Ovis aries: one gene and its partner. The protein of the gene in region 1 interacts with the protein of each later gene in a biochemical or structural test. Links are inferred from orthologs where the notes say so. Each region holds a gene or a part of one and is shown in the gene's direction. Other genes may lie near its edges.

Region 1 (7,973 bases):
TCTGCACTGTTGTTATTAAACTGAGAAAGAAAATTTTCAATTAAGCCTTAAAAAAAAATTTTTTTTTTCACTGCAAAAGTAGTACAGAATATAATGAAGACTAGAATAAGGGGCAGGGGGTAACGGATGCCCGTAGAAACACTATCCTGAGACAACTCTGTGTTTCAATTTTTCTTTTTGTCTAACACCTCATAGGTGTCTTTTTTTTTTTTTTTTTAAGAAAAACATAGATGTGATCATACTGCATGATTAGTTTCACAACTTGTAGCGGTATTTTTTTTTTTTTTTACCACTTAATGCTATATATTTTAAGTTTTTACCTAAAATGCTACCAAATATTTATAGCTATCTTCAAGACATTTAATTTCCACAATATTTATTTTTGCATCTTGTAAATTGTGACATACAGTTTATGAATAAAACTTTTGCTCTATTACAGATTATTTCATTCAGCAAGAATCCCAGATATGAGATTATGGGTTACAAGGGTATGAACATTTTTATAGGTTGAATCACAGTGCCAAATTTTTCTAAACAGGTTGTTTCTGTTTACACTCCACTCACAATGTCTCTCAGCACCTTTTTAATCTCACCAGCACTGAATATTATCCTTCATTTAAATAGTTACTAACATGATAGCTGACTGAAGTGTTACAGTTTCTCCTCTGTTTGCTGTTGAAGAGTATAGGATAAAATCAAGGCTTTGGAATCAAATGATACTGGGTTGGTCAGATTGCACAACTTCCTAGCTGTGTTACAGTAAGCAAATTACTTAACTCCTTTGAGGCTCTATTTACGGGTTTTTAAAAACGTCAATAACATTTACCTCAAACTCAGGGTTGTTATAATTATTTTAAAAAGCCAGTCTTACAAAGCATTTCATACCAGTGCCTGTCATGTGACACATGATAATGAATGCTTCATTTTCTGTCACAAAAGTATGTTTGATTAGTGTACTATCTAGGAATTTACACAATAGTTTGACTATCTTTATGCATGCAGCTTGTTGTAGAAGTCTGAAAAATCACCGGGATAATTGTTCCACCCCAGGGAGAAGGTCAGGGAGTAATCCTATAGTTAAAGAAAAGCACACACCTGGTTCCCATCTTCGAGGACTCTGCACTCTAAAGGCCTTAGAATTAACTTGAGACTTTTAATTGTTCCAAGTGGTCTCAAAGGGCAATGGTGGAAACACGCTTAAGAGTAAATTTAATGAAAGTGATCAGAGGAGAGTTTCCGGAAAAAGCCATAGTCTCAGGGAAGACAAACAGAAAAGCAAGAAGGATACCGATTATTTGCTCTAAAAAAGTTGAGTACACTGGGTGAGGTTGTATTTGAATGGGTTTCCCTGGTGGCTCAGACCCTTAAGAATCTGCCTGCAATGCAGGAGACCTTGGTTCCATCCTGAGATCAGGAATATCCCCTGGAGAAGGGAATTGTTACCCTCCAGTATTCTTGCCTGGAAAATTCCATGGACAGAGGAGCCCGGCGGGCTACAGTCCATGGGGTCGCAAAGAGTTGGACACGACTGAGCAAATTTTTCATTTTCAAACTTTGTTAATAAAAAGTAAACTATATAAAGCAGGTCAAACTAGGCTACTCTGATTTTGTGCACTTGCTATTTCCATACGTAGAGCAAGTTTTGCTCTTTGAATCCCAGAAAATACAAGAGGAATGGGAGTAGATGACAGAACAATGACCGTAAGTCTGTCTAGCCCCGACCACTACTAAAACGAGTGGGCTAGTCAGACCATGATCAAATGCCTAACTTCACAAAGTCAAAGATAATTTAGGTTTGGCTGCTCTTTGCGGTGTCCCACTTCCATCAATTTTCTTTTACTGACTTCTTCCTTGCCCGGATAAAAATTTGCACTCTCGATTGGGATTTTGGTGGGGCCTAAAAATTGTCCCTGAAAAAGTAAGTTTACTGGTTGGGTAAACACTGCCAAAATAAAGTTCTTCATTGTCTATATAAATCCCTCTAAGGCAGGCCTTTTTTTCTCTCCCGATCCAGGGTTTTCAAGCTTTCAAGAGCCAAGTAACGCGCTCCACTCGGTCGTTGATTCCCTGGGAAAGAATGCCTTGTTGGGGGCGATGGAAACGCCCTCTGAATTTTCTGGCACCAGCGGGAGTTTCAAGTTTCCACCGGTCGCGGGGAGGCGGCAGGCCCACTCCCAGCTCTGGGTTTGGGCGGTTCCGCTTCCCGGGCCATCGGGCTTCACTCTAGCCCAGTCCCCCTCACGGAAGGAGCGGCCCACCCCCGCGCTCGGCCCCGTTCCCTAGGGACTCCGGAGCCGCGCCCGGGTCCTCGCGCGTCCCCGCCCCGGACGGAGACCCTCCCTGCCCGCGGGCGACGCCCGGGCCGGCGAGTGGCCGCGAGCCCGAGGGGCTGGGCGGGGCCGGGCCGGGGCGGGGCGCGGGCGGCGGGGTGGCGGCCGCCGCAGCGGCGTTGGCGCTCGGGCCGCGGCGCGAGGCCGGCCGGCCGGCAGGGGGAGGCGGGGGGCGCGGGGCGCGGGGCAGCCCCGCCTCTCCCCCGAGGAGCCGCCGGGCAGCCATATTGCGGAGCTGTCTGCGGTGGCGGCGGTACCTCTACTCTCCGGCGTCCCGGCGCTCGCTCCACCGCCGCCTCTCTCTCTCTCTCTCTCTCTCTCTCTCTCCCCTTGCCGCAGCCGCGACGCCCGCCGCCGCCGCGCAGCGCCCGGCCACTCTCGCGGCGGGAAGCAGCCGCCCGCTCCTGAGGTAAGCCGCCGGCGCGCTCCCTTCCCCCACGGCCGCTCCCGGGCTCCGCCGGAGCCGCTGAGGTGGCGGCGAGAAGTCGCGGCGCCCGGTGCTGCCCGCTGGCCTCGCCGCCAGGGCCGCGGCGCCGCTTGTCCTAACGGTCCGGCAGGCCAGGCCGCTCCTGCGGTCGCGGACGCCGCGAGGCTTGGCCGGCGTCTCGGCCGCGGCCTGAACACGCCGCGGCGAGCTGCTGCCCCCCGGGCGCGGGTCCGCCCTCCGCGTCGGCCCCGGGCTCGGTCGGGCTCCCGCCGCTCGGGCGCCGCCCCGGGCTCGGCCTGGCTCGTCCCTTCTAGGCAGTCTTGAGAATGCAGATTTAAGCGTAGAAAAAAATGACATAATTATTATCATTTTTTGCTGTGGTAGGAAAGGAATTTATTACCATTTCTCCCTGGTCTCCGATTTGAAAGCAAAGGTGTTGAATTACTAGAGAGCGTGAGTTCCGCCGTGGCGGCAAAGGGAGGTTGCGTGACGGGGCTCGGGGCGCGAGCGGCCCCCGCACCCGCGCGGCGGCCCTGGCGGCTCCGGCCCCGGCCCTACCTGCTGCTGCTGAAGTTGCGGGCGCCCCCCGAGCCCCGTAACTTTCTCGGATTTTGGATCTTAGACCGCAGTAGACAAGTTGAGTACATTACAGCCCCCTCTTCCTTTAAAGGGTTGTAAACGTAATTCTCAGGCTAACTTTGAAAGGGGCGGGGGTGGGGTGGGGTGGAACACTATATTATTTTAGTTTAAATAGAGCGCATCACATCCTATACAGATGTAGCATGGTTCTTTATTCACACCATGTATTGAGCGTTTTTTTCTTTTTTTAAAATACCATTAAGGACTGGTTATTAACGAGGCTGGAAATGTGTTGAAAGTCAGCTTCATCAACGATATGTTTTAAAATCTATCTACTTGAGATTTTTGTCGAAATGTTAATGAGTTCTGTGGCAATAGACAAGCATGATGTAAATGTAAATACCTAAGATAGTAAGCATTTGTTTGATAAACGAGCGCTCGAAAATAGGCATTGCAATCTATTGTTTACTGAGCATACATTTTTTTTAGAGCACTAAATACTCTTTTATATTTCGGATGGAGCTCTGAATGAACAATTGCCCCGTTCATTTGCTGGATAAATAATGGCTTAATCCGTTTACCATAACAGCATTATTAGAATTAAGAAGCGAGGCTAATATTCAGGGTTGCATTTACATTTTTTTTAGTACTACCTTATTTTCACGTGTGCTTTATCTTCCAAAGACTAATAATTACCGCAAATGTGGTAAAAACGTAAAAGATTTCTTTTGAAGTTAGTGGATTATAATTCATCTGTAAAATGAATTGCACTTTGTTTCTTTTGTTTAATTACTTTTGTAAAGTGCATAATGGTATTTAATAAACAATGTTTTTTTAGTGAGAGATGAATAGATACTCATTGAAATGCTTTACAGTATATTTAAATGAAACAAAATTTGTGGCATTTAGGAATGTTGAATTCTTGCCCTTGTGGATTATACATCGTTTTGTTCACTCCTGTGTTCCCAAGCATGGCAGAGCGTAGGAGAGGCTCAGAACTGAAATTAATTTCAGCATGGGGAAAATATGTTTAGTCTGTCCTTTGTTTTGGACATTTGCATTAACTGGAAATTAAATTGATATGTTTTTCCTGTGGTGGTGACAAATGACAGACTGCTATTCTTTCTCTCTTTTGCTAACACTCAGTAGTATCAGAGAACAAGGATTATTTCTTGATTTTTTGCTTCTCTATTCCCAGGAGCAGAATTGGCTTTTATTATCCATTTTTATCTTTGGCAGGCGGTTGAAATGAAAGTCTGTATGCATTTTATCTTAATTTCAGATCTGAATCTTCTAATATAATCTAATGTAATTTTCTAGTACAGTAGAGTCTGAAATCTTCAGTTAGGATGGGAGTCAACTTTTTTCATTTATTTTTAACTTAATTCAACTTAACATACATCATTTCAAAATGACAAATTTTAATCGATATTTCCCAAAGACCAAAGCCTAAAACAAAGTGTCCTGTTAAGACTGTGAGGATAGTCATGTTGGGGAACATACTTGATAGGGAATAGTTAATATAATACTATGGTATTGGTGTCGATCTAGGAAGTCAAGAAAGTCACCCTTTCTTGGATGGCTTGGACATCCTGCAGCCCAGTAGCTCTTCTCAGGACCCTGATAACTACCCTTGGCTTACTGGAGTCAGTGGAACTGGATTGGACTGCTGTAGATTACACTCTTACAAGGTGATTTTAAACCTCACCGTGTCAGAAGCCCTTTAGGGGAACTTCCCTAACTTCTGCCTCAAGTATATGTTCAGTTGAGTGGTAGGTGGCTCGTCTGACCCCAGAGATTTCCTCAGTTTCTAGCCTCTTTCAGAGGAATCCTGCTTTACTGTTTATATTAGTTCTTGGTATATTTTTCAATATTCATTTACATTGCATATATTTTAAACCACTTTAAATGACTGTAAAATTAATAAATTTTATGACAAACTTAAAAAAATCAGAAAGATGTTAAAAGTTCTCCCCAACTTCCCAGAACACCCCCCAGTCTTGTTTTTCAGAGGTAATTGCTATTAGCCATTCCTCCTATGTAGAAAATGGCAATATTTATGGAAGGGTAAATATATACTTTATATATATATCCCTTATTTGCAATTTTAAAGTCTTTAAAAGTAAGGTTATTTTGTAACAAACAGTGAAAGGATGTTTGTTTATTACTGTGTTTAGTATTCAGTACTTAATATTTCTTGGATTTTTCATCATTTAAAGTCAAAATGGAATTTCCTATAAGAAGTGTTTACGTACCTGTGTAAATTTTTTTCATGATTGAAGGTGAATTCACTTTTTGTTTTCTTCCTAGGGAATGGTATATAACTGACACTGGAAAATATCCTTTAAAAAAGGGTTTATGATTTTGGATAGTGAAATGTCCCTATGATAGATGTAGCTTTTTGCCTGGAAACTGTTTGGAAAGAAAGTATGGTTCATATGATTCACTTCTTTATTTCTTCGTTCTTTTTGATAGCGAATCCAGTCTTTCACTTCTTAGAGGGTTTTTTTCAGGTTAGCATTTGTATAGGTTTTTTTTTTTTTTTTTTACTATTACTCATTTTTGAGTACATTGGGCCTTAGTTGGTGTCTTTGTGCTGCATGAGGGATCTCTCCTTGCTGAGCGCGGGCCTAGTTGAAGTGCATGGGCTCCAGAGCGATTGGGCTCTGTAGTTGTGACCTGTGGGCCTAGTTGGCCCTGTGGCATGTGGGATCCTAGTTCCTCCTCCTTCTTTGGAAGGTGGACTCTTAACTGCTGGACTACCAGGGAAGTCCCTGTATAGGTGTGTTTTTTTGTGTTTGTTTTTTTGAATAGTCAATATTTATAGAAGTTCTTGCAAATTCATAGAATTTTAACTTTTTTTAGCAGAATTCTAAAGTACATTTTATAGAAGCTAGTTATATATGTCAATAAGGTCATTGGACTTTTCTTTTACATCAGGTGCTCTAATATAAATAGGATGCTCTAGAAACATTGGTTGCTTTTCTGCATAATTTACATATATTTGAAATAAAAAACTTTTAGCTCTAGTAAAGTTGATTTATTGGAAAATGACATTATCTTTACTGTTAACTGGAGAAGAGATCAGCAAGCTAATTTGTAGACCAAATTCAGCCCACTACCTGTTTTTGTAAATAAAGTTTTATTTCAACACATGATAACTCATTGGTTTGCCTGTTGTCTATGGTTGCTACTGTGCTACCACAGAGAGTAGTTGCAAAAGGTTTTGTGGGCCACAAAACCTAAAAGGTTTACTTAATCTGGCCCTTTGCAGAGAAGTTGGCTGACTCCTGCTTTAAGGTATCATTCATACATTTGAACGTTTATAATCATATGCCAGATATTCTTTGCATTTGTTAAGTAAGATAATGAGACCATCACACTTTAATGGGAATATACTTGTGCCATTTTATATGCCATGACATGTATTTAAATGCTGTTTGTGTATATAAACTGTAATTCATATACAGTGTAACAGCATTGTAAGCATAGTTTTTTGTGATGTGAATTTTTGTTTTGTACTAAAAAAAAAAAAAAGAAAAAAACTTCTTGTGTTTCTGCGGATTAGCTGATAACCTTTTGATAACCAGAGTAATTTTTTGTAATCAGAAATCCGGGTAGTACTCAGAATGATGTGGGCACGAGTGTAATAGAGGGACTGTTAAAAGGGAGAATGGGGACATAGGAGATCTCAGCCCTGGTTAATTGAATCCAGTCATGCCTTGGCTTTTATTGAAAGTGTGGGATGGGCTAAACTTTCATTAGCCATCCTTAGCAGTCTTGATATTTAAGCTGTTTCTAGATTCTAGACTGAAGGAAACTATAAAATTTTAGTTTGGTTATTAAGCAAAGTTGGCACTCCAAATCTGTGCATTCTCCCAACCTTGATTGAAAATATTCCGTGGGGGTGGGGGAGAGTTCTTGAAAGTTCCAAAAAGTAAAACTTGAAAGCCACATGCTGGCAAGTATTTACATTGTATTTACAATTGTTTACATAGCATTTAGCATTGGGCTTCCCTGGTAGCTTAGAGGTTAAAGCGTCTGCCTGCAATGCAGGAGACCCAGGTTCCATCCCTGGGTTGGGAAGTTCCCCTGGAGAAGGAAATGGCAACCCACTCCAGGATTCTTGCCTGGAGAATCCCATGGACAGAGGAGCCTGGTGGGCTACAGTCCACGGGGTCGCAAAGAGTCGGACACAACTGAGCGACTTCACTTCACTAGTATTGTATTTACAGTTATTTACATAGTACTTACATTGTATTAGGTATTATAAGTAATGTAGAGATAATTTAAAGTATATGGGAGGATTTGTATAGGTTATATGCAGATATATTTTATACGTATGTGTGTGCATGCTAAGTCTCTTCAGTTCAGTTCCTTCACTCAGTTGTGTCCGGCTCTTTGAGACCCCATAGACTGCAGCACGCCAGGCCTCCCTGTCCATCACCGACTCCCAGAGTTTACTCAAACTCATGTCCATTGAGTTGGTGATGCCATCCAACCATCTCATCCTCTGTTGTCCCCTTCTCCTGCCTTCAGTCTTTCCCAGCATCAGGGTCTTTTCAAATGAGTCAGTTCTTCGCATCAGGTGGCCAAAGTATTGGAGTTTCAGCTTCAGCATCAGTCCTTCCAATAAA
Region 2 (7,954 bases), on another chromosome or scaffold:
TAACGCCATGTACAAAGCTCTCACCAAAAGTAAAACGATGCAGTACAGTCGAGGAAAATAATATTTCTATCTTTAGTGATAAATTTGTTGGATTTCCCTGGTGGTACAGTGGATAGGAACCCCCCTGCCAATGCAGGGTACATGGGATCAATCCCTGGTGCAGGAAGATCCCACATGCTAGGGAGAAACTAAACCCTGCATGATCCAAGTACTGCAGACTGCACCTACAGCCTGTGCTCCCTAACAAGAGAAGGCGCCGCAGGGAGAGGCCCATGCATCACAACCAAGAGGAGCCCCTGCCTGCCACCAGAGAAAGCCCACAAGCAGCAATGAAGACCCCGTGCAAGCGAAACTAAATACAGATAATTTAAAAAAAACAGAATTTGTTAATTTTCTTGATTAGTATTCCAGGTACTTACTGCTCTATAAATTACTACAAAACTTGGTGTGAAACACACATTTTATTATGATCACAATTCTGATGGTCAGGGAGTGAGATGATATGTTTGCCTCCTGCCACAAAGCAGGTCTTCTGGGTCTTCAGCCCCCATTTTCAGATTGAGAAAAGCCACACCCCCAGATTCATCTTCACGAGTCCTGACTAGAAACCATGATGGGATGAGACTTTGAGGGGTCCTGGGAGGCAGTGCATGGTAGGCGGCCACACATCATGCTTTGCTTGTCTTCCCATTGAGAAGTGGGATCTAATCTGTTCTGTTATGATTCCTACTCACCTTGTATGAAACTCGTGGGATTTAAGCTATGTGAAGATACGTTAAAAATGGAGTCACACTGGCCAATGTGAACTTCCATGTTAGTTGTTTTGAAATGTCTGCTGTAGCACTGTGAGTATCTTAAGTGATAAACTAAGAGTATTACTTTAGATAAGAAGCTTGAAGGATGATGTATGTCACTTGAAGAAAAAGAACAACTGTTAAGAGTCAAGGAGTCAAGACCCCTCCCCCTAGGGTTAACTGCTGCTCCGTAAGAGACCACTATGCCCAGTGACTGAAAACTCTTCCCTGGAGGAACCTACTCCACACTGTTGAGAGCTGTTCCAACTATTTTGGACACTGCCAGAGGCCCTGCTGGAGCAGAAGGCAACTTCCCATTCATGTTTGCCTTGAGACCTATGGCCCCGGGACCAAAGACGCTGCTCTTGCTGACAGGCCTCCATTTCAAGCTCCATTTCAAGCTTCTCCCTGGAGTGGTTCATTACCCCTTTGTCCCTCCTTTGTAATTGTATGTAATAAACTGAGTGATTTGTGAACTGAATATTGGCTACTGTTTCATATATCTCTATTCCTGATTCTCACCTACTCTTACTGCTGGGCCCTGCCCTTCCTTCAGGCACAGAAAACAGGTTTCTTGGAACATTTGTTTTTGAAGTCCCAGTGGCCAAAATTCCACAGGAGCCTTGTGGGAAAGTCCTTGTGTCAATAGCCCGGGCTGAGCGCCATGCAACGCGGTCATCTTTTTGTTGTTGTTTTCATTTTATCACCTCAAGCAGCATATGGGATCTTAGTTCCCTGACCAGGAATTGAACCTGTTCCCCCTGTAGAATCTTAACCACTGGACCACCAAGGAAGTTCTGGAGTAATTTGTTACATACATGGGATGATGGTACCGCTGTTATTAACTCCCAAAGGAACTTTTTACTTAGAATATTGTGTGTAGAACTATTTATGGTAGAGGTAACATTTGAGGTTTGCTTCAAACTTATTCCACGTGGTAAGGAGATGAGGGCACACATGGCACAGGGTTGGAGACAAGCTGGAGGGCACCTGTAGACGCTGATGGCAGATACTCTGGGCTTCATATTCCCATTCTTTCTGCCTCCATCCATGTGGTGGGCCACCTCCAAGATGGCTGAATGGCCCAGCTCATCTCCTTGTCCTCATGTTCCCATGCTCCCCTCCAGCACTGTACTGGGGAAGCTCCACATGCCCAGCAGAAGAGCAGAAGCAACGGCACCTCTGATACTAGGTTGTGAGGGGCACTGTGGCTTTGTTTTGCGCACTTGCTGTTTCCCTGGCTCGGATTCTCTTTCTGAGGCCTCACTCCGCGAAAGCCAGCTGCCTTACAGAGAAGCCAGAAGCTGTGGGCAGCAGGGAACTAAATCCTCCAGCCAACAGCCTGTGAGGATCAGAGCCTCCTGCCCACAGCACGTGCATAAGCTTGGAATGCTTGCAGATCCTGAAACCAGGTCCCTGGCTCACAGTTCAACCACAACCTCACTAGACGAGCCAGAACCACCGAGCGGAGCTCTCCCTGATCCTCGGTAAGGACAGTGTATGTTGGTCGTTTCAAGCTGCTAAATTCCAGGGTTATGTTTTTACACAGCAATAGGTGACTAATATAACAGAGTTAGATAGTTTTCAAAAAGCACTTGGGTTATCGAAAAACAAACTTTTGCTCAGTCAGCGATTGGGCAATGTAGCAGGACGCAGGATGAGTGCGTCGGGGACTAGCCGGGCAGTTTTCAGGTGCGCCAACAGGAAGCCTCAAAAGTGTGTATGGAATAAATACAAGATTGGAATGCTCTGCCTTTGGCCAACTCAACTTTCTACATGTTAAGCTGACCATGTGACTCTTCATTACAGAAAACTCGCAAATATTCCCCCAAAGTTAAGACATTTCCAAAAGATACCAAGGTCAGTATTTCACATTAGGTTCTGTGACCTAAAACGCCCCCACCACGTGCAATCCAGGGGTGTGTGTTTGTGATGACTCGGGTGTGAAGCATTTGAGGTCTTGCACTCCGCGAGGAGGAGGCGAAGGAAGAAGAGATGCATGCTAGACCGGCGTTGGCAGCGCAGGCTCCGCCAGCCTGGCTACAAATCATAGGCCCGGCTTGGCGCTGCAAAATCCTCGCTGGTTGAAGGCGTGGGCATGTGTCCGATAGTCGCCACGCCTGGTGGCGTCTGGGCTAGGAGCTCCCAAAAGGGCGACCGCATGGTGACTTGGGCTGGAAGGGGAAAGGCCTGGAGAGAGCTATTTGGACACCCGTGGATGAACGTTCGACGATAACTTCCGGGAGGGCGGACATCGGCGAGTGGGCGCGAAGGCAGCCTAAGGCCGGACAGCTGCCACTCGCTGACCTCGGCTACTTGATGGGATCGGCTGTGCCGGCTCGTCCCCGCGGCGTGATGGCAGCGGGCCCTCGAAGGGAGAGATGCCCGCTGACGGAGACGCGCCCGTGACACACGCGCGTCCCAGCACCTCGCAGAAATACCATGCCGCGCTCAGGTTTCTCGTGGCGCTCAGCGAGACCATCTCACTTCCCCACCCCTTCAGCTTGCCGGCAGACTCCTGAGGATACCCGGGACTAAGAAAAGCCTGTGGCAAAGAGCACAGGAGCCCCAACCGGACAAGTCTCCTTTGCCGCGCTGCCCAAACGGACGCGCCCACGAGGCCGGTCCGCAAGATGGCGGCGGCGCGCTGCCGGCAGCTCCTCGCACATGCGCTATCCGCGGCCCGCCCGGCGCGAGCGGAAGTCGCGTGACCCCGGAAGTGGCCGGCAGGGCGCGCGCGGGCGGGGCGGCGACGTTCGTCATTCTGTGCGGGAGGGAGCGCGAGAGCGGCGCGGACGATCCTCCGGTGAGTGCGGGCGGCGAGGCCAGCGAGCGCGGTGGGCACGGCGGGCGAGGCGGCCGCGGGGAAGGAGGCCGGGGCCGCGCCTTTGTTCTCGCTTCCCGCCCCGCCCGCCAGTCCCGCTGAGGGAATCTGCGCAGGGCGGGGGCGGCATTGACAGCGGGCGGCGCCCCGGGCGCAGGGCGGGCCCACGTGCGATCGGGGGCGCGGGGATCTGGAGGCGGGGGCGCGTGTGCCGGGGGTGGGAGCCGGGGTCTGTGCAGACCTCTTTTGTGGTCGCTGCTCGTACTCGGCAGCCCCCTGCTTGCTGGTGCGCGCGGACCAGGGCCAGGCGGGACGCCTCCTCCCCTGGGAGGTGAGGTCCCTGCGCCCCACCCTGCTTGCCGGGCCTCGCCTGGCCCAGATTGCAGGCCCTGCGGAAGTGCGGGCCTCGCCATCGCACTTAAATGATTTTGTCGCCTGCGGCCGCGCTTGAGTGACGTTAAGGCGTGAGCCTTCTAGAGGAATTCCAGAGGAAGCTGCAGGGAAGCTTGGAAAGAACGAGCCGGCCCCACCCTGCCTGTGGCGGCCGGGCGGTTCCGGGTCCCCAGCGGCCCTTTGTAAGATCGGGTCCTCACGCACGTCCCGGCATTGGCTGTCTTTACTGGCAACCGGTGGCCCTGACCCACCTCCCACACCGCCGGGTCTAGTCTGAGTCGGTTTCAGGTACTCCTCAGGGATTCTGCGGGGTGCGACGGTCATCCTTAGCGAAGGAAGTCCTGTGGCTGCCCCATCACTTCTCGCTTTGACAGCATTGCTCTGGGCTCTTCTGGGGCCCGGGCGGAAGGAGGATCTTGAGACTACCCATCACATGGCTGCAGCAGTTCTCAAATTCTAGGTCACAGACCCTCACAATTAGAGATTGGTTTGTCGGACAGGTAGGGTCTTTTAGGCCATTTCAGGACTTACCTGTGGGACTTAGGCTAGCCCCGTCATCTGAGCTCTAGGGGAGACCTGTGTTTGGGCTGGAGGGAGACATGACTGACCCATGTCCTGCACAAAGGCCTTGGTTTGTAGCTGGGGCGTTTTTGAAGGAACAGGCTGGTCAGAGAGAACCCAGCAAGAGGGTTTCCTTGAGGAGAGGGCCTAGGCAGCTCAGAACAAGAAGCAGCACTTGGTCCTGGTGCTTCCTGGTTGGACCCAGGTGCTGCTGCTTCCTGGGCAGCAGGGAAGCTGTGCCTGCTTTCCTTTCATTTAGCTCTGGATGCTGGGGTGAGGTCCTGTGAGGTGGGCAGGGCGAGGAGGTGAGTGGCCCCTTTGGGCTTCAGGAGCCTGTGTCTGGGCCTTTTATGAAGTTCTGGCTGTCACTGCCTTCCTGTTAGAGAACGTGCACCTCCCCTTGGGCCCAGGTTGGGGGTTTGGCCACTTGCAGAGAGCCAGTGCAGACCACCTGCAGGTCCTGCAGAAGGGCAGGTGGGGACACACTGTGGGTCCCTCCAGGCTGCCGCAGCCCCTGCTACTCTGGTCACAGGTGTCTCACATCCAGCTAGAGGTGAGTATGGCTGAGCAGGAGCCCACAGCCGAGCAGTTGGCACAGATTGCGGCAGAGAACGAGGAGGACGAGCACTCGGTCAACTATAAGCCCCCGGCCCAGAAGAGCATTCAGGAGATCCAGGAGCTGGACAAGGACGACGAGAGTCTGCGCAAATACAAGGAGGCCCTCCTGGGCCGCGTGGCTGTGTCTGCCGGTAAGTGGGCCCCGGTGGGGTGTGTGGACACCTGTCGCTTTTCTGGGTGTCCGCCACTATTTCCCCTGCTGGCGGAGCTCTAACTTGCTGTCACTCTGCAGACCCCAATGTCCCCAATGTTGTGGTGACCCGACTGACCCTGGTGTGTAGCACTGCCCCGGGCCCCCTGGAGCTGGACCTGACAGGTGAGTGGCATCTCCAGGTTCCTCGCTGGGGCTGCCTGGCACCCTGCTAATTCCCCTAAAAATAATTTGTTGAGATGCTGGCGCCCTCTTGTGGGGAGCCTAGGAAGTGCAACCAAGTGATTTTAATAAGGCTCTGGCTTTGGTGTGGCCTGGGATTGGAGGGTGGGGTGTGTGTGGGTGTCTGGGGTGTGGCCTGGGATGTCAAGGGGTGTGTGTGTGGGTGTGGGTGTGTGGGTGTGTGTGTTTGGTGTGGCCTGGGATGCCGGGGGTGTGTGTGTGTAGAGGGGCAGACAGGGCACCCCACCAGGGCCGGAGTGGCTTCCCCTACCTGAACCTCCTAGTGTGGCGTTCCTCTCAAACGCAGGTGATCTGGAGAGCTTCAAGAAGCAGTCTTTTGTGCTGAAGGAGGGTGTGGAATATCGGATAAAAATCTCCTTCCGGGTAAGGAGGAGGCTTGGGGGGATGCTGGGGGCTCGGACTGGAGAGTCTGGCTGAGCCCCGCTTGTGTGCCTCCTTGCAGGTGAACCGAGAGATTGTGTCCGGCATGAAGTACATCCAGCACACGTACAGGAAAGGCGTGAAGAGTGAGTGCGGGGGCACCAGGAGGGAGGTGGCCACCGGGGGCTCAAGGGGCGCCGGGAGGGAGCGGGGAAAGGCCCGCCTCAGCTCCCTGACGGACGCCCTCCCCGTGCCCCACAGTTGACAAGACTGACTACATGGTGGGGAGCTATGGGCCCCGGGCGGAGGAGTATGAGTTCCTGACGCCCATGGAGGAGGCGCCCAAGGGCATGCTGGCTCGAGGCAGCTACAACATCAAGTCCCGCTTCACAGACGACGACAGGACTGACCACCTGTCCTGGGAATGGAACCTCACCATCAAGAAGGAGTGGAAGGACTGAGCCGGGAGGCGGGCAGGGCGGGCGGACGGAAGGACGGACGCGCCCCACCCCACCACCCCATCCCCCCGACCCCAGACCAAAGTGCTGACAGGGCCCGCCCACGCTGCCGCCACTGCCCCTGGGCTGCCTCCTGGCTGGCCTGTCCCTCCTCCGCCCTTCCAGCCCGCTGGCCCCAGCCTCCTCGGTGGTCTAGTGTTGCTGCTTCCGCCTGTGCTGTGGGGAGGGAGGCCTCGACCTCCCCTTCTGTATCCCTCAAGATTCCCCCACTGTCCTGACCCGACCTGAGTCCTTGGCATGGGAGTCAGGCATCGCAGTGGGGCTCAGGGTGCTCAGGTCCCCTGGGCCTTCTCTGTTATGTTACCTGGACTCCTGTCGCCCCCTTCCTGGTAGGGGTGGGGTGTACCGCGTGGGGCCTCGTGGGGCCGGTTGTCCTCAAGCTTTCACTTCTCCCCGGTCAGTCCATCCATCACTGTCAGTAACGGTCTAACCATGATGCCTTAACATGTGGAACGTGTGCTGTGGGGGCGTCACTAACCTCTAACCCTGTGTCTGCATGAGCATGTGGTGTCTCCCCCTCAATCCCTACCCCGTCTGTGATCCCCGTGGCCCGGGAAGGCTTCTGGGATGTGCTGGTCCCTAGTCTGCCCTGGCCTGTCCAGGCCCGCAGGGACAGCTCCAGGGGCTTGGGAAAAGCCAAATTGCCAAAACTCAAAAGCGGCCTCCAGTCCCACCTGGGAGGCTCGGTGTCTTCACGCCTCTGCCTTCTTTGTCCCAGTGGGCAGTGCCTAGAGCCCACGGCCCCAAGAGAGAGCCCTCGGCAGACAAAGCCAGTGGCCGAGCCTTACTTGTCCCTCCTGGCCTGCCGGCCTGGAGTTGTGTGCCTGGCCCGTCAGTATTTATTGCCTCCATATGTGCCGTCCTCTGGGCCCGCTGGCCTGCCCCTCTGCCCCCGGGCTCGGTGCCACCATCCCCAGCAGGCCCTCCCTGGACCCAGCCAGGACAACCGTGGGACCAAGCTTGCACCGCTGGAGCCGTCCCCTCTGCCCCCACCCCACCCGACCCCACCCTCCCCGGTCAGGCCCGGGCCTAGAATGCACAGGAGCCTGTCCCTGCTTCTCCTTTTCTGACCGGGAAATAAACTTCCCCCTAAGGAGCTAGGGTGTCTGCTGCTCATCTGGTGGGGAAGGGGAAATGGGGACCCTGTTGCTCTGCTTCCCCGGGGCACTGCAGGAGGGCCAGGGGCCAGGCGCAGTCACCACTGTCTGAGGCTGGTGAAGGAGAAGGTTTACAGCCCTTACTCAGACGCATCAGCCCACCAGGCTAGTGCTGTCCTTTTGGCTGGGTGGGTTCTGCCGGGGAAAGGGGGCGGGGACAGTTGGGTCCAGTGGGGCATCCAGTGTCCAGGTGACTCCTGCACACCGCTTGTGGGCCCTGTCAGCCTCTGGGAGGGAATGGTTCCAACCTCAAAAAAGGGGAACCATGCGGAAGACTTGGGAACAAATAGAATGACTGGGTCCCAAGGAAACCAGAACAGGAACTCAGCTGAATG

What was found.
Region 2: the proteins of RDX (region 1) and ARHGDIA form a complex in vitro, tested with the Homo sapiens proteins (2 studies listed by BioGRID and IntAct). The link is inferred for Ovis aries from reciprocal best matches to the Homo sapiens genes RDX and ARHGDIA.

Annotation. Positions count from the first base shown.
Region 1 is NC_056068.1:20,029,616-20,037,588, reverse strand, and holds the start of RDX (radixin), read left to right. Parts: upstream 1-2,554; 5' UTR 2,555-2,739; intron 2,740-7,973. UniProt on the Homo sapiens protein: Probably plays a crucial role in the binding of the barbed end of actin filaments to the plasma membrane.
Region 2 is NC_056064.1:50,517,953-50,525,906, forward strand, and holds ARHGDIA (rho GDP-dissociation inhibitor 1), read left to right. Parts: upstream 1-3,555; 5' UTR 3,556-4,299; intron 4,300-4,385; 5' UTR 4,386-4,511; intron 4,512-5,104; 5' UTR 5,105-5,131; coding exon 5,132-5,321; intron 5,322-5,422; coding exon 5,423-5,506; intron 5,507-5,870; coding exon 5,871-5,947; intron 5,948-6,026; coding exon 6,027-6,090; intron 6,091-6,205; coding exon 6,206-6,405; 3' UTR 6,406-7,558; downstream 7,559-7,954. UniProt on the Homo sapiens protein: Controls Rho proteins homeostasis. Regulates the GDP/GTP exchange reaction of the Rho proteins by inhibiting the dissociation of GDP from them, and the subsequent binding of GTP to them.